Canis lupus familiaris: one gene and its partners. The protein of the gene in region 1 interacts with the protein of each later gene in a pairwise test. Links are inferred from orthologs where the notes say so. Each region holds a gene or a part of one and is shown in the gene's direction. Other genes may lie near its edges. The genes, in order: SUFU, RCN3, HDX and GLIS3.

Region 1 (5,114 bases):
AATTCTCAACTAGGTGGCTTAGGAATTAAAAATTCTCCCAGGGGTGGCTGGCTCGCTAAATCGGGAGAACACATGGCTCTTAATCTGGGGGTTGTAACTTCGAGCCCCACATTGGATGTAGAGATTACTTAAAATAACAAAAAATTCTCCCAGTTACAGAAAGCCAATGGTAATGGGAAAGAGCAGGTCTATAGTAGATAATGAATATTGATGTTCCTTAAGGCAATCTGCATAAAACAGAACAAAGAAGAGATTGTCATCACTAAAAGCATTTATTTTAAAAATTACCAAGTCTTGGGGTGCCTGGGTGACTCAGTAGGTTAAGTGTCTGCCTTGAGCTCTGGTCATGATCTCTGGATCCTGGGATCCAGCAGTAGGGAGTCTGCTTCTTCCTCTCCCTCTGCCTCTCTCCCCCACTGTTCTCTCTCTCTTTCAAATAAATAAAATCTTAAAAAAAATAAAGACAAAAAATTACCAAGTTTTAAAAACTAGTCTTAGTTTACCTAACTCTTCCTACTTTTTAATTTTTTTTAAAGATTCTATTTATTTATTCATAGAGACACAGAGTGAGAGAGAGAGAGAGAGAGAGAGAGAGAGAGGCAGAGGGAGAAGCAGGCTCCACGCAGGGAGCCCGACATGGGACTCGATCCAGGGTCTCCAGGATCACGCCCTGGGCTGCAGACGGCGCTAAACCGCTGCACCACCGGGGCTGCCCTTGCTACTTTAAAAAAAAAAAAAGATTTTATTTATTCAAGAGAGACACACAGAGAGAGAGGCAGAGACATAGGTAGAGAGAGAGAAGCTGACTGCCTACAGGGAGCCCAATGTGGGACTCTATCCCAGAACTCTGGGACCATTCCCCGAGTCAAAGGCAGACGTTCAATCACTAAGCCACTCAGGCGTCCCTAACTCCTGCTACTTTTTTTTTTTCTTGCTACTTTTTTTTTAATTTTTTTAAATTTTTATTTATTTATGATAGTCATAGAGAGAGAGAGAGAGAGAGAGAGAGGCAGAGACACAGGCAGAGGGAGAAGCAGACTCCATGCACCGGGAGCCTGACGTGGGATTCGATCCCGGGTCTCCAGGATCGCGCCCTGGGCCAAAGGCAGGCGCTAAACCACTGCGCCACCCAGGGATCCCTCTTGCTACTTTTTAACAAGACTCCAAAGTAAATATTTCAACATACAACCCCTGAATTTGGCGGGGTTAGTGTCAGTAAATATGGTAAATGGACATTCAAAGATGGTAGGAAATATTCAGATTTATAATCTATTACAACTAAAGCCACGCTAAATGGACGAATGAATCAATCCACTATTGTCAAATTTGTGCTTAAATTCTTGTTAGCAGGGTGTCAGCACAATAGCGACAAGTCGTTCGTCAGCGAGCTTCCCACAGCTTTCCTGGGACCCTAGCACCTGAGGATGCCTCAACATTTCTATTTAAATCTGGGTTCCTCCTAACACTAGGGGGAGGCCAAGAGCCTTGGGACCCCCCCCACACACGGAGAGGGAGGCGGGACCTATTGCCAAGTCACGCCTTCCCCATCTGTGACTGGCACAGACACTAGCCAATGGATACCGGGATAGGGCGCGCCGGCGCCCCGCCCCCCCGAGCGCTCCGCGGCCCCCGAGGCACCCTCCGGCCGTCTCTGCGGCGGCTACGGCCTGGGCAGACGGTGCGCCGTGCGCAGGCGCGGAGCCTAGACCTCGCTGCAGCCCCCATCGCCTGGGGGAGTCGCACCCACGGAGTCCGCCTGCTGGCGCGTCAGAGCTCTCCCCCTCGTCCACCCTCCCCGGTCCCCCCAGCGCCCTACGCGCCCGGATGGCGGAGCTGCGGCCTAGCGGCGCCCCCGGCCCCGCCGCGCCCCCGGCCCCTGGCCCTAGTGCACCCCCGGCCTTCGCCTCGCTCTTCCCCCCGGGACTGCACGCCATCTACGGAGAGTGCCGTCGCCTTTACCCTGACCAGCCGAACCCGCTCCAGGTTACCGCTATCGTCAAGTACTGGTATGCCCTGGGCCGCGGGGAGACGGACGACGGCGGGCAGGGAAGGGTTAGAACGCCCGGGGCGAAGTCATCTGCGGGGGAGGAGGAGGTGGAGAAGAATGGTTAAAGCACTTGGAAAGAGGGCGTCCTGCTGCGAGGCAAGGAGTTAAGGCTGAAGTTGGGAACGGGGACAAAGGGGTTAACGGAGCCTCTGGGTAGAGGAGGGTTAACGAGGGGGGAGGATGAAGGGTTAACTGGGATTAGGAGAATAGAATGAATTGGGGGTGTGTGTGTAGGAGCGGGGGGGGGGGCCGATAGGAGAAAGGGAACTGTAAACGTGGTGAAAGGAGGGGGCGCCTGTAGGGGGTCATTAGTGGGCTAAGGGAAGCCGGGGGCGGGGGTGGGGGAAGAAGGGCGGCTGAAGTGGGATGGGGGAGGCGAGGCGGGGCCTGGGGAGCACAAGAGAGGGCTTTGGAGGAGTGCGGCTGGCGAGCTCAGAGGGCTTGAGACTGCACAGGGTACGGTGGATTTGGGGATCCCCGCTCTCCCATAGGTTAGGAGGGAGGCAAGTTGCGAGAGTCGTGCTTGTGAAGAGAGGAAGAGGAGGTCTCCTTTTAAGATACCTTCCCCATGAGCTCAGACGTCAGTCATATCGGTGCAGTGCTTTTGCGTTTGAAGTTTCACGGAGCAACTTTTCTTGATAAACTTTCTGCTTACTCGGCACAGTTCTCTTTCTCCAAGCAGAGCTTCCTTTGGCTCTGCACCCGCTTTGCCTAGGACATTGGCTAGAACAGAGGCACGGTCAGGGAGATAGATCCATGGTTTGGCTCAGGATTGCCGGGGACCCCAGTAAATGATGAAGACCTGAGACACGGAGCAAAGAAGTGCAGCCAGATGTTTAGAGGGGCTTCCTGGCCCCAAGCTTCAGGATTTAGACCACAGTCTCTCAGGGAAGCTGAGAGTAACCCTCAAGTGGCTCTGTTCAGGATCATAGAAGGCCTGCCCTTGGGGTAGGAATGGTCCTTTCTTGTTTCCCATTCCTGTTTGCAACCTATCTCTTTTCACAGCCACTGGGCAAAACAGGTGTTAGAGGGACTCTGACAAAGAGCCTGTCTTCATGGTCTTTCTGGACCATATTGACTGAGGAATTGGTAGAATTTGTCCAGAACTGCATTCATGCAGGCACTGTATTAAATAATCCCCTTCACTGAGTCCTGAAAGACTGTTCAGAAAAAAGCTTGGGATGTGCCAAGGGGGCAGGTAGACCCAAAGGGGGAGGTTGAGAGAGTGGATGTCTTTGCTGGTTACCTCTTCTTTTAGGATGGAAGCTTCTCCAGGATAACCTCTTAACTTCCTCTGGAGATGGCAGAAACTAGACTGTCTGGGGCTGAGGCCAGTTGCCTGTGTCAGTGGGACAATATGAAGAGACAGGGCCTGGGGACCAGCCACCTCCTATGAGAGGGTCATGTCTGGTAGCCAGAGGAGATGTGGCCAGTGGTACAGTTCTCTCTTCAGCAGGCAAACTGTTCTTTGGTTGAGAGGAGTTTTTGAAGAGAGCTTCTGAGTGAAAAGCAGCTCTTGATAACTTAATCACCCATTCTCATTTCTTGCCTATATTTAAGTATGTGTTGTGATGAACTGTATTGGATTGTGTCATGGGGAAAGAGGGCCTGGTTCTGCGATGCTGTTGGTTCAGGTCTCATTTGAATGAACAGAGAAATCCCTACACAGACTTAGGCAACTGTTTTTATGTCACCCAGTTGGCCATGAAGGATAGAATTGTGTGCAGAAGATATTAAAGCACATGCAAAGGACTAAGACTGATTTGGGCAAGCTTGTTAACCAGGCAGGACTTATCTTCAGAAATGGGCCAACATGTAATGACTAATAAAGAGTACTTTGTGAGATTAGAAATGCTGGCCAGATGCAGAAAAATATAAGAAGGAGCAGCTGAGCAACTAGTTCTTTCTAAGATTTGGAAGGGTTTGCATAATTAAGATTCTGAAATTAATTCATTAATATACATCACACTTGGGATGCCACAAGGCCTCGTTAGCAGTTTGACTGACCAAGGCTACCTGGGTCTGGCTGTGGCCCACGGTCCCTTGAGATTCCTTTTCTTGTGACAGAAGGTTGGTTCTTTGGCTAGTGGACCTTGGCCGGCAGGGACATCCTGGCTGAAAGCTGATACTTTAGTGGGCAGGGAACAGAAACACAGAGGCAGAGCTTGTACCCAGGAGCCACTGCAGTCCTACAGCTGTCATGTGGAATGAAGTTAGGTGTTCAAGGAAGTAAGTTCAAGGAAGAGCATCAAGGGATACTCTGGGTCCTTGGATAACATATTTTTCTAAGTGCAAGATATGATTATTTTCTACATAATCATCTGTTTCCCATCAGGTGTCTGAGTAAGTAGAACAGAACACTGTGCTTGGGGACAAGGTTAATTTTGTCTGACTCTTGGTTATTCCTTACAGTTATAGTTTTAAGATAAAGCCTCGATCCTTGATGCAGTATCTCCTGAGAGAGGGCTGCAGAGGTGTGACAGATGGAGTATGGAAGTGTGGATACAGTTTTGCCACTTGTTGCTGGATGCACTTAGGCTGAAAGGGGCAAGACTGGGAATTTGCAGCAGGAAACTGGAGCAGATCTGGAGTTTGTAGTCACTCCCATCTGTTCTGGGCTTCTGCAGCTATCATGTGGTTCTTCCAGAGATAGCTACCCCTATGTTTCCTCCTTCCCCCAGCAAACTTTTCTGTATTCAACTAGTTGTGGAAACATTCAAATGATTTGGTCAAATCAGAGTTAAGGAAGGACATGGGGATTTGTCTCTTTTCCTAATCCACTCAGTTGAGTTTCTGAGCTATTTGTAGCAACTTTCTTACAAGATCTATAAATAACTTAGCATTTCCTAGCAGAGAATAAGGATTTCTATAAGGGCAAATAATATCCTGGCAAAAGAGGATGAAACCAGACTTACTGGTTTTAAATAGTATTTGAATTGCATGGTACTGGAACTCTTGCTGGGATCACATGTAGCATGTCTTTTATTTTCACATGTAGCATGTCTTTTATTTGGTTATTAGTGTTCCTGCAGCATACGATGCCAATTGCAAAGTGTACTCCATCAAC
Region 2 (3,889 bases), on another chromosome or scaffold:
GATCATGACCTGAGCTGAAGGCGGCGCTAAACCGCTGAGCCACCGGGCTGCCCAGGGAGTTGCTTCTTAATGGGAAAAGGGTCTCCCTTTGGGGGGATGGAAATGTTCTGGGTGGATGTGGTTGCTGCGAACACTGTGAAGATTCTAAATGCCACTAATGGTGGCTTTATGTTATGTGCTTTTTACCACAATTTAAAAATTGTTTAAAGCTCATTTATTTATTTAAATCTTTAAATTTTTATTTATTTATTTAAGTTATCTCTCCTTCCAACATAGAGCTCAAACACACAACTACCACCCCACCCTTCAATCAAGAGTCAAATGCTAGGATACCTGGGTGGCTCAGTGGCTGAGTGTCTTTCTGCTTTTCCCCGCAGGGAGCCCGCTTCTCCCTCTTCCTATGTCTCTGCCTCTCTCTCTCTCTCTCTGTGTTTCTCATGAATAGATAAAATCTTTAAAAAACAACAACAAAAACAAAGAGTCAAATGCTCTTCCAACAGAGCCAGCCAGACACCCCTTATTTTTTGTTTTTATTTTTTAAGCTTACGTTTTGAATCTTTGTAAGTTTTTCTCCACAAGTTAAAAAAACCTACGACAGCTCCCGTCTACTGTTGCCATCACTTCCTGGAAGAAAATATGACTTAGAACCACTAAAAAAAAAGGGGGGTTCTCTGCACTCACTGTTCTGGAAAGCTTACTGAGTGTCCAGCACCTGCTCTGTCTTTGGTGACATCCTTGTGACAGCTGCCTGGCCTGGTCCCTGAGGAGAGGAAGGCATTCTGTACTTATCATGGTCTTGGATCTGGTATAGAGACCTTCATACTTTTTATTGGGTGGTAATGTCTTCCAAACCCATCTGTGGGCTGCTTTCTCCCAGACAGCCCCTAGCGGCAAGGTTAGGGGAAGAGTTTTTCAAACGTTTACAAGTAACGGAAACAAATGAGAGGCTCCAACAATCCTGAGTGAAGTTCTTATTTATTTATTTATTTATTTAAAAATTTAAAAAATTTTAAAAGATTTTCTTTATTTGAGAGAGCATGAGAGAGAGAGAGAGAGAGAGAGAGAGAGCAAGCGCATGAGAGCCATGAGGGTCAGAGAGAGAAGCAGACTCCCCACTGAGCAGGCAGCTGGATGCGGGGCTAGATCTGGATCTGGGGGACTCCAGATCACGCCCTGAGCCAAGGGCAGCTGCCCAACCAACCAAACAACCCAGGCACCCCGATTTTTTTTTTTAATTTAAGTTCAGGGTCACCTGGGTGGCTCAGTGGTTGAGTGTCTGCCTTTGGCTCAGGGCGTAATCCTGGGGTGCTGGGATCAAGTCGCACATCAGGCTCCCTGCGGGGAGCCTGGTCTCTCTCTGCCTGTGTCTCTGCCTCTCTCTGTGTCTCTCATGAATAAATAAAAAGTAAAATCTTTAAAAAAATTTAAATTCAATTTGCCAACATATAGTATAAGACCCAGTGCTCATCAACATCACGGGCCCTCTGTACTGCCCAGCACACAGTTCTTAAAGTGGGGTGAGCTGTTCTAAGGGTTGGGGTGTGACTGTGTGCACTGCACAACAAGGGACACGCAGCATTTCCTATGTGTTATCAGGCCAACTGACTGACAGCTAGTTGAGGAAATGATCCATCAGTCAAGTAATTTTCCTTGTGGCAGGGCGATCACCTGTCAGTCCGGTGTCACTATCAATCCCATTCAAACAGAAGAGGGAACCGAGGCGAGAGAGAAAGCAAAGGGGGCAGCCCGGGGTTCTGGGGTCTGGGATGGGGTCTGGGATTGGGAGGCGTCAGGGCAGGGACAGAGCCCCGGGGTGCCCACCAGAACTGCCTGACGTCGCCCCTTCTTGCCTGGCCCAGCGGATCTGTATTCAGCCGAGCCCGGGGAGGAGGAGCCGGCCTGGGTCCAGACCGAGCGGGAGCAATTCCGGGACTTCCGCGATCTGAACAAGGATGGGCGGCTGGACGGCAGCGAGGTGGGCCACTGGGTGCTACCCCCGGCCCAGGACCAGCCGCTGGTGGAGGCCAACCACCTGCTACATGAGAGCGACACGGACAAGGTGCCCCAGGGGGCTGCTGTGCAGAAATGCCCAGACCTGGGCCCCCCAGACCCAGGATGGGGGTAGGGATGGGGGGGAGGGGGCCTGTTAGGGCAGGGATTAAAAGAGGAATAGAGAGACCCAGGGAGGGAGTGGAGGAAAGGTAGGGGACAGGGACCCAGAAAGCCGTGGGCTGGAGAGGTTCAGAGAGGAGTGTCACAGGCAGGGCCCCTTGTCCCCCCTGCTGACCTGTGACCCTCCCTCCAGGATGGGCGTTTGAGCAAGGCCGAGATCCTGAGTAACTGGAACATGTTCGTGGGCAGCCAGGCCACCAACTACGGCGAGGACCTGACACGTCACCATGATGAGCTCTGAGCCCCAGGCCCCAGGGCGCCCACTACGAGCCTTGTAGCCCCACAGGGTGACCCAAGGAGGGGCCCCCGTGGCCAGGCCCCCCTCCCCATCTGGACCTGTAGCATGTGGACACCTCTATCCACCCTGTGTCCCTCTGCCCGAGCTCTCAGGGACACAGCAGGTCAACTTCTCCAAGATACTGCAGCACCCCCAGCCCTTCCCACCCCACCCTCAGGAGGCTCAGAGACCCAAAGGGTAAGTGAACATCTGTTTCTCATTGGCAGAATCATCCAGCCCAGCCCAGGGCTCCCCCCAATACCAAGCTCAGCCTCCAAGAGCCTCCACTGAGCACCCCAGCTCCAAATCTGAGCCTCAGATCACACAGCAGAGAAACACCCCACCTCACTGGCCTCAGACTCGCCTGCCCCCCGGCCCTGCCCCCAGGATGCCTCCTCTCTGCCAGGGAGGCAATAAACTCCAGTGCTGGGGCCTCGTCTCTGTGTCTCTAAGGGGGCGACAGGGGCCTTGGGGAGGAATTGGGGGCTGTGGCTGGGGATGGAGGGGCTGTGGACTGCAGGGTTCAGACATTCGAAGAGGGGGTTAAGGGGGTTGGCAGGATTTGAGGGCATTCCTGGAGACAATAAAACTAGGCAACCGGACTCAGCGGGGAACAAGCCAGACAGACGGCTCTGCCCTCTGGAAAGCACAGGATGGCAGTGCTCCGTTGAGTGGCCAGGAGGGGCCTTACTGGTGAGCAGAATGAGGAAGTAAGCCCTGGGGAGGCCTGGAGGGAGAGCCAGAGGGCAGAAGGAACAGCAAAGGGCTCTGAAGCCAGAGTGTGCCCCGTGTGTGTGCTCAGATCAACCAGGAGGCCAGTGTGGCTGGAATGGAGTCAGCAAGTGAGAGAGGAAGGGAGGTGACCGAGATTAGGTCATACAGGGTCTTAAGGAGAGGAGTAGATGTGAGCCACCTTGCTGCTGAGTTGGGACAGAAGGACAGGATATTATGGGCCCTTCTGCAGCCCCATGAGACCTACTCGTTAAATTTTCCTCTAGAAGGGAGCTTGGGTGGCTCTGTTGGTTAAGCGTCTGCCTCCAGCTTAGGTCATGATCCTGGGGTCCTGGGATTGAGCCCCATATTGGGCTCTCTGCTCAGTAGGGAGTTTGCTTCTCTCTCTCCTTCTACTGCTCCCCTGCTTGTGCTCTCTAGCACTCTCTCTGTGTCAAATAAAATCTGCAAAAAACAAAACAACACAAAACCTAAAAAACACAAACCCTTTCAACATATTCTCCTGAGGGCGCCTGGGTGGCTCAGTCAGTTGAGCATCTGACTTAACCTCAGCTCAGGTCTTAATCTCAGGATCATGAGTTCAAGCCACATGTTGGACCCCATGCTGGGTGTGGAGCCTACTTAAAAAATAAATATATATTCCCCTGATTTTTAAGGCAATGAAATGATTCTGTATGATACAGTAATTCTGGGTAAACGTCATCATAC
Region 3 (4,504 bases), on another chromosome or scaffold:
GATTTATTTTCTCCTTCACTAAAGAACAACAAACTAATTATTTCTCACATTAATTCTCTTATGTTTTCCTTACTTCTCCTTTTTTTTACTTCCCCTTTTTAATGAGCAAAATATCATGGACATTCCATTTCGGTGCTATCAAGTTGCCTCCAATTGCAATCTCTATCACCAATGCTCTACTTATTTTGTTATTTCTAATTTGTTATAGATTAGAATACCAGATTTGGTGAAATAATGTATAAAATAAGAGGAAGTGTGTTTTAAGGTGGACGATTGTGCTTTAGTAAAGTACATGTATCTTGTGATATCTATATTGTCTGTTCTAGACAAATGAAATTGTTAGATAGCTGAGCTTCATATGCATGTGATACGCTACTGCGTTTTACTTTTTGATGAGTATGTAATATAAATATCTAAAAATGGGTAGGAAATATCAGAAAGGGAGATAGAACATAAAGACTCTTAACTCTGGAAAATGAACTAGGGGTGGTGGAAGGGGAGGAGGGCGGGGAGTGGGGGAGAATGGGTGACGGGCACTGAGGGGGGCACTTGACAGGATGAGCACTGGGTGTTATTCTGTATGTTGGCAAATTGAACACCAATAAAAAATAAATTTATTATTTAAAAAATAAAAACTACATAAATTACTATATTTAGAAATATACATATATATAGAAATATACACATTGTATATACTGTATATTTCTATATATGTCTATATGTATATATATTATGCATACCATATACTATATATACTAAGCATTTCTATATATGTATATTTCTATATTTAGATTGCAAATTTATGGCTTATTTAATATTTTATGTAAAACTATTCACTAAGATCACTCTTAAACTTCCTGCATTAAGGTAGTTATATTAGAGGACGTTTATTTGTTTTCTTAGAAATATTGCCCAGAGCTACCTTCCAGATTTAGTAGTCCTTGAGTTAAAATTTTACAAATTCACTATGCCATCCCACTGAAAGTTTCTGAGTGTAATGATTGTACATTTTAAAAAATTATGAACAAACACATTATACTTCCTATGCATGTTTTTCAAACTTGAAAAACCATAAGAGAGTAACTTATTTTGAATATTTGTAAAATTCACCTTTTTAAATCATACCTTGAAATTATATTTATCCAAAAATATTTCGAGTATATACTTTAAAACCTTTCACTTTTTCTACTCTGCCTCATTCTCCTTTGACATTTTATTTCTTTGTTCCTCTGCTTGTAATTCTCACCTCTGCTGTTTAATAAAACTAAATTAGAATGAGTTTAAAATTCCCACAGCCTCATGTGAAGCAAAATAGAGCATCTATATCTCTAGAATATTTTCCTTGTTAGAGAAATACTAATTATAAAAGTAAAATGGCCAATAAAGATGACCATTTCAGGAGTTTCTTGCATTAGTGGAAGGAGATTTTGCTTTGAGGTCAAGTAAAATTGATTTTGAATCCTTGCTCCAACACCTGCTGACACGTTATCCTTCTATATGCTACTTAATACTTCTGAACCCCATTTTTTTTCATTTATACAATTAGGAAGAATAATCAAATAAGCTAATATATATAAACACATAATGGGGATTCAATATATGTTAGCTTTTATTTGTAGAATTACAGCAACATTAATGGTGTAAGCATCAAAAACTGAGTAATTTTTGTGGTCTTCAAAAACACGTCACATAAAAGTTAACAAATACACCCTGCACCATGTTTGTGGTAGTTTAGTTCATTTAATATTTTCACTTATTTTATTTTTTTAAAAAAATATAATAGATTAATGTGTTTTGGTAGTTTATAAATATGGTACGCATTTTGAAATAGTTACAAAGTTTACTGATCACATTATGGAATGTATTTCTTAGAGCATATTTCTTATTGCATAATTATGATTCAGTGTAATATCACTGTGATTGTTAAAACAAATTACTTATATAAAAGTACATATTTTTAAATTAAACCTAAATGCCAACCTATTTTATTATTTTATTAATAATGATTTTTCTGTTTATAAAAGTAATACACATTTACTATATAAAATTTGGTAGGTAGAGAGAACTATAAAGAAGGAAATAACTACCATAAATTAATGACAAACTGGGAGAAGTATTTGTAACTTGTGATGAAGTGTTGCTATCTCTAGTAAAAAATTGTTTTATATATCAATTTAAAAAGATAAATACTCCAATGTAAAAATGAGTAAAGTTAATGGATAGACAGTTTATTAAAGTAATATAGTAACCATAGAAATTCCAATGAAAACAGTGATTATATACCTTATATTTAATCCTAGGCTACTAAAGACTACAAAAAGATAACGCAAAATGTTGTTGAGGGTGTAGGGAAACCAGAACTCATACATCGGAGGGTACTTTGAAAGTATCAAAATGCCCAACACTTTCCCTTCTAGGATAGCATTCTAATGGACCAGTAGCACAAAGATGCACATACAGTGACATGTATTTCAGTATCATTTATAATAGTGAATACTTCTAAAATAACCCATTAGTATCTAGCGATAAATAAATTAACCAAGTTATGATATATTTGTAGAACAGAAGTTGTCAAACCTGAAGATTACAAGTATATAGTTATTTAATAATACTCTGAGCATTTTCCAATCTTGGTAAGCATCCTACTTTTAGTATGCTTCCAATTTTTCACTATTATAAATAAATATATGACGAACTTAATTGCATATAAACTTTGTATATATCTATGATTATTTTTAGGATAAATTCCTAGAAACGGATTTACTAGGTCAAGGGATATAAACATTTTTAGGATTCTTGCTACAGATTAATTGAATGGATTTTGAGGAAAGAAGCAATAATACAATTCTGTTATCAAAGTTCCTAGATATTTGTTAAGAGTAAGCTCTTGTCTGACCTTATACTTTATTTATTTTTATTTTTTAATCTTATACTTTAGTTACTTTTTCTTTTATTATATCTTTTTTGTTTTAAATTTGTATAGGACTTATTCCTATGACAAATGAGAGTACAGTTTATCACATTGGAAGTGTTTTTTCTTATTGTTTTTGTTAAGAACATTTTTATATTGTCATTTTTTATCCTTACAGACGTGGGTTGGCAATAAGAGAAGAAAAATGAGTAGTAAGAATTCTGAATCAGGAGCAACAACAGGAACACTTGCTGGTACCTCTTTGACAGCTCCAGACATTACAGTCAGAAATGTAGTTAACATCACTAGACCCTCAAGCCAACAGTCTTCTTGGACATCTGCCAATAATGATGTCATTGTAACTGGTACATACAGTCCGGCAAGTTCATCAAGTAGGCAAGTGACAACCAAACTTTCAGATACACAACTTACAGAAGCACATAAAATTCCTGTTCAGAAAACAGCCAGTAAAAATGATACTGAGTTTCAGTTGCACATTCCTGTTCAAAGACAAGTAGCACACTGTAAAAATGCCTCTCTGCTCTTAGGTGAAAAAACAATTATCTTATCAAGACAGACAAGTGTGCTAAATGCTGGAAACTCAGTATACAGCCACACCAAGAAAAACTATGGAAGCTCTTCAATGCAAGCCTCTGAGATGATGGTACCTCAAAAGCCATCTGAATGCCACCGACCTTGCAAAATTGAACCAGTTGGAATTCAAAGGTCATATAAGCCCGAACACACAGGTCTAGCTTCACATAACTTATGTGGACAAAAGCCACCTATTAGAGACCCTTACTGTAGAACACAAAACTTGGAAATCCGCGAAGTATTTTCATTGGCTGTTAGTGACTACCCCCAGAGAATTCTAGGAGGAAATGCCCCACAGAAGCATAGTTCAGCAGAAGGAACTTGTTTGTCCATTGCAATGGAGACTGGAGATGCTGATGATGAATATGCCAAAGAGGAAGAGTTGGCATTGATGGGAGCACAGATACCAAGCTACTCAAGATTTTATGAAAGTGGTAGATCCCATGGAGCAGAGAACCAAAGTACTGCATTGCCTGGACCAGGAAGAAATATGCCAAATTCCCAAATGGTAAATATTAGAGATTTTTCAGACAATGTACTGTATCAAAACAGAGACTACCATTTGACACCACGGACCTCATTACATACAGTAGCTACTACAATGTACAGTAATACAAATCCATCACGGAGTAATTTTTCATCGCATTTTGCTTCATCAAACCAGCTGAGGTTATCACAAAACCAAAACAATTACCAGGTAATGTATACATTTATTCTATAAGTTTTTAAAAAGTTTTCTTTGGAATAAAAAGCTGCACTTGATATCCAGTTAAACATGAGACTTGGCTCACTTAACTCATATTTTGAAGTAATTTGAGATTTTTTTTTTGCTTCAAAGTGGTAGTTTGGCAAGGTAAGTCAGTCATTTCCCCAAGAGATAATGGTAAAGAAGTCAGAGAATACAATAGCTCAGCCAATTGCTTTATCTAAAAATAAATGCCCTGTTAAAACATCAAATGGAAGATTGATCGAGTTTTAAAAATATTTATAGGAAGAGTT
Region 4 (4,504 bases), on another chromosome or scaffold:
GATGGAAACTGTAAGCCAGAGAAGTTATAAATGATTTGCCAGAGGTAGAACTTAGGTGTCCTGACTTCTAGTTGAGTGCTGTTTTTACTCTGATTAAATAAGGATGTATCTTTCTTAAAAGTTAGCAGTTTATTGCTTTTTTGTTAACACGGGGATTTAGGACTATAAATGATCATATGGCCTTGCTAAAAAGTATATAAAGTACTTTAATACCAGTAGATAAAATTGATTTTTAAATTCTTGTCTCTAATGCTTGAAAGATCCATTGGCATGATTAATGTGCGAACTGGGTTATTAAGCATATTTTCACACAGAGTTTATATTATTTTGTCTTGAGGTTGGTTTTCCTAGCTTGTATGCCATCACCTTACTGGTGTTTCTTTATGGCATTCATCACTTTGCTTTCTGGCTGTTGCTTTTTTAGTAATAAAATTTAAGTGCATTTTTGTTATTGTTGTTGTTACTTTCAATCTAAAGGTATTTAAAACAGGAGTTCAGTTTAAAAATAAAATAAAAGTCCAGCTTGACAGGCAGGTATGAATATCTGATACTTAATTAGCTTCTCAGCACATTATTTTTCTCACAAACCTAATTAATGATCTAACCTAATGCTAAGTACCTACTTATGTGTTTTTATCCAGATTTTTGATGAGAATTCCTGCTTGTATTGATCTTGCTGCCAAAAATGACTCCTTTGTTTTTAAAAACTGGAAGTGGGGCATAGTCTGTAAATCTACAGATGCTTGTCACATGGACTCATGATGGCTCATAATGCCAGTCATGTTGGATGATTCCTCATTTTCAACAAATTGCCAATACAACATATATACTTACTTCTTTTGGTTGGTGCTGAGTAAGTCCTCTCTTTTGCAGGGTTAAGAGTAGTCAGAAAATGCTATTTTATGAATGAGTGAAGAATAGATGGCCAACATCCTCTGGCAAAGCACAGAGATATGAAATGATTCTTGGTCACAGTCAACCCACGACTCAACAGACCAGATGATAATTCACTGGAGTTCTTAAATGGACACAGCTGGAAAGGCATTGGGAATTTTCCCAATGTAAAAAACCAAAATCTTACAACCCGTTTAGTACTAGGGTTTATTTCTTATTGTTCCATGAAATAACTCAAAGTGATAAAGTTTGGGTAGGCTGGCTTTCCTTGTCCGTTCTTGGGGACTGTAATGGAAGGAAGGGCAGGAGCAGGGGCTCAGAGTGTTTCTCAGGATTGAATGGTGTGGCCATATGAAATATGCTGGACTGATAGAATTCTTAATAAAGTAGAAAATTGGTAAAGGCGAGGGAAACATTCCAAATGTTATATTGTTAATAATTTTTGAAGTTTCTCAACATTTGGGCACACACTAAACTTTGCAGAGGGCAGAGTGAGTGCTTGACTTGAAAATCAAATCTTTTGATTTTCCAAAAGGATAAATGAAAAAAAAAATCTTCTTCACAGAGAGTTTTCCCTTCAATATTCTGTCCCTGATGGCTGATGGAGCCATTTATTTGAGAGTTGGTTGGAAATATTTGTCTAAGACATTGAGTGGATCCTAGAGAAAACGTAGGAATCATCCAGTAGAGAATATCTGACTACTACCACCGTGTACTCAGCCATATCTCCTATATTTGTTCAGCTTTGGCTTCTTTGCATGACAATCATATCTGTGTAAAAGAATACAGATTGTGACTATGTTTGTCATTCATTTGGAATAGTGGCACTTAGTCACCTCCTTGACTCTATACACATTTTATGAGCTTTTGGTTAAGGGAGGGAAGGGCCTTTCCTAAAGATTTGTAGCCAGAGAGTACTGACGTTATGATATACAGATGGATAATGGTGTCCTGTGGTGATACTAGTGCTGTTGGTTCTTTCTTTGTCACTTGAGGAAGGTGGCGGTGGGGTGGCAGATGAAACCATGTTTGTGGAACTATGGTTGATTTACTATGTGTGGTGTGTATGGTGAACATAATTGCCTCCTTCTTTCATTATGCTTTCCATGAAGTGTTTTGCAGAGACTTTTCCTTTTCTAGGATCTTAATAGAAGGTGAGAGTATTGTGGTGTTGATTCTTTTTCCATCCCCATAACTCAGAATCATTATGGAACCAAGACTCTGATGCTGCTGTATTTGGATATGTGGTTATATGACGTCTTTGTGAGAATCCCAAGCCCCTATTTTTATCTTACGTGAGTCTAGGGACTGTGAAAATTTTGCTCTTACAATAAAAATCAGAGAGTGGTTTAATATCCCCATAATTTCATTTAGAGGCCATATCTGCCTTTTGCTTGTTTACTGGAAACTTTGGAGCATTGGTCTCACAGCTCGCAAAGGTGATGCTTTGGATTTCCCAAGACTCACTGTAGCAAAAGTGAACTAGTATGGACAGATCTTCTAGGGAGCCAAATAAGTTTCACTTTGCAAGCTGGCACCAGTTGATCGGTTGTAGTTGCCAAGAGCACTGTATTGAGAAGGGCTCAGTGGCAAACAAAACAATACAGTGATCCATAATCCATGTCTACCATGAATGCAGGAGGGGAGAGTGCCTGCCAATGAACCATGTATTTGATGACCCTGCTTTACATAAAAGGCTGTTTTGCTAAGAGTGCTTCTTTTCTTCCTGATATGAATGCTACACAGGTTGAAAACTCACTGTGACTTAGTTTCATTTTTACTTTTAAAAATGCCTGTATTTATTTTTTTAAACAGGCTAATAACCCACACCATGGATAACTTATTGGACTTTGCCTGAAAGGAGTCATTAGTGCCATTGGATATTTGACCATCCTGGCCACAGGTTTTTTCAGAATGAATGGAAGGTCATGCAGCATGAGTCTCCACCGGACATCAGGAACCCCACAGGGGCCTGGGATGGTCAGTGGCCAACACATTCCTCCCATCCGAGCCCACTCTGGGACTCCTGGCCCCACGTCCTGTGGCAGCACAGCAAGCCCTGCCATCGGAAGCCTTGGTAACAGCCTCCATCTCAAGATGCCCTCGGGAGGAGGGATGGCTCCTCAGAGCAACATGGCCGAGAGCCCCCTCCATCTGCCCGCCTTGAGCCCCAGGAGACAAGTGCTCACCAATGGGAAGCCACGATACCAGGTCACCCAGGCTGGAGGCATGTCAGGGCCACACACTTTAAAGCCAAAGCAGCAGGAGTTTGGAAATCCTTTTCCTCCAAATCCTGGGAAAGGTAGGATTGTCTTTCTGGGATCTTTTAAAAGTGGAAACGATTTTTTTTCTCCTCTCCAGATCCTTCTCTGCCAGCAAATCTTATGGAAAAACACATGATTGAATGTAAGGGTCAAAGCTGATAGTCTCTTAATGATATGTAGCTTTCTTGGTACGGGGATGGATGTGTACTTGTGTGAGGGTAAGGAGACCACAGGGGTAAATGTGGTACCTCATGGGGCTGTGGAGCAGAGCAAAAGGTGAGACAGAAAGATCAGACATAGGGAGTGAGGGTGGGTGGTGGTGGTGGAGGGCAGGAGCCAGTTTAGGAAGCCCCTAACCTCAGGATGTACAAAGGGACTGGATTCCTTGGGCCACAGAGCAGAGGGGCGGCCAGAGCCATCATGATGTGGGTTGGGTGCTAGAAGGAAAGTTTGGAAGGAAAAGGATAAGAAGGGGGAAGGTTTAACAGCGAATAGAGTGAGGAATTCATACATAGAAATGATAAAAAATTATTCCAAGAGCAAGACTCATATAAGTTTTATAGTTTAGCTGGTGACAAGAGGGAAGGAAGCCAGAAGAGAATAATGAAACGATGTATTTTGGGGCTTGTGAAGAACTAGAAAACTTGGTTAATTTGAAGTGCAGAGAGAACGTGCTTTTAGTTCAGTAATGTTTGAATAACATGTATTTTAAATTACGGAATTGTTAAAAATATTACGGAATTGTTGGAGAATAACAAATTATTCGAATGACACACTCTGTCTATAGGAACTGATGTTGACGTAATGAGTGATGTTGCACATGAAATGTGTATTTGGGCTAGAAAAAAAGAAAGAATATATATCTCATGTGAAATATAGCTTGGTTACATAAAATAGCACAATTACATATACTGGTAGGTATTTTTAGCATTTGGTTTTAGTTGTTTGTATTAGGTGGGTACACTACCAAATAAAATTGCCAGCAGCTGGAATAGTCATTCACCCAGTTAACTCATAACTCACCCAGTTCAGGTGAATACTCATTTGTAGCAGATGAGTAACCAAAAAGTTGTTTTAGTGTCTTTGTATTCCTCTGTATGGTATAAATGGACAGGTTAAGAAAAAACCCTAAATATGTACGTAGCTTTTTTCTTATTTTGGTTTAGGTTTGACTTTAGATTGTTTTATTTCTCACACCTATTGATATTTAGAACAAGCATAGGAAAAACTTTCCCTGGGGGTGCATCCAAAATCATTCGATCCTTGTCAGGTTGCTGCGTCATAGCATGGTGAGCTACGTTCCTTGATGTCAGGCTCATGTGTTTGCATTTTTAGGTGTGGAGGCC

Evidence for each region.
Region 2: the proteins of SUFU (region 1) and RCN3 interact in binary tests that used the Homo sapiens proteins (3 or more experiments, as listed by UniProt). The two-hybrid records come from large-scale screens. The link is inferred for Canis lupus familiaris from reciprocal best matches to the Homo sapiens genes SUFU and RCN3.
Region 3: the proteins of SUFU (region 1) and HDX interact in binary tests that used the Homo sapiens proteins (3 or more experiments, as listed by UniProt). The link is inferred for Canis lupus familiaris from reciprocal best matches to the Homo sapiens genes SUFU and HDX.
Region 4: the proteins of SUFU (region 1) and GLIS3 interact in binary tests that used the Homo sapiens proteins (3 or more experiments, as listed by UniProt). The link is inferred for Canis lupus familiaris from reciprocal best matches to the Homo sapiens genes SUFU and GLIS3.

What each region holds. Positions count from the first base shown.
Region 1 is NC_049249.1:15,182,063-15,187,176, forward strand, and holds the start of SUFU (suppressor of fused homolog), read left to right. Parts: upstream 1-1,643; 5' UTR 1,644-1,824; coding exon 1,825-2,006; intron 2,007-5,114. UniProt on the Homo sapiens protein: Negative regulator in the hedgehog/smoothened signaling pathway. Down-regulates GLI1-mediated transactivation of target genes. Down-regulates GLI2-mediated transactivation of target genes. Part of a corepressor complex that acts on DNA-bound GLI1.
Region 2 is NC_049222.1:107,642,068-107,645,956, reverse strand, and holds the end of RCN3 (reticulocalbin-3), read left to right. Parts: intron 1-1,859; coding exon 1,860-2,059; intron 2,060-2,305; coding exon 2,306-2,413; 3' UTR 2,414-2,881; downstream 2,882-3,889. UniProt on the Homo sapiens protein: Probable molecular chaperone assisting protein biosynthesis and transport in the endoplasmic reticulum.
Region 3 is NC_049260.1:65,564,244-65,568,747, reverse strand, and holds part of HDX (highly divergent homeobox), read left to right. Parts: intron 1-3,089; coding exon 3,090-4,202; intron 4,203-4,504.
Region 4 is NC_049222.1:93,382,569-93,387,072, reverse strand, and holds part of GLIS3 (zinc finger protein GLIS3), read left to right. Parts: intron 1-2,709; 5' UTR 2,710-2,808; coding exon 2,809-3,196; intron 3,197-4,504. UniProt on the Homo sapiens protein: Acts both as a repressor and an activator of transcription. Binds to the consensus sequence 5'-GACCACCCAC-3'.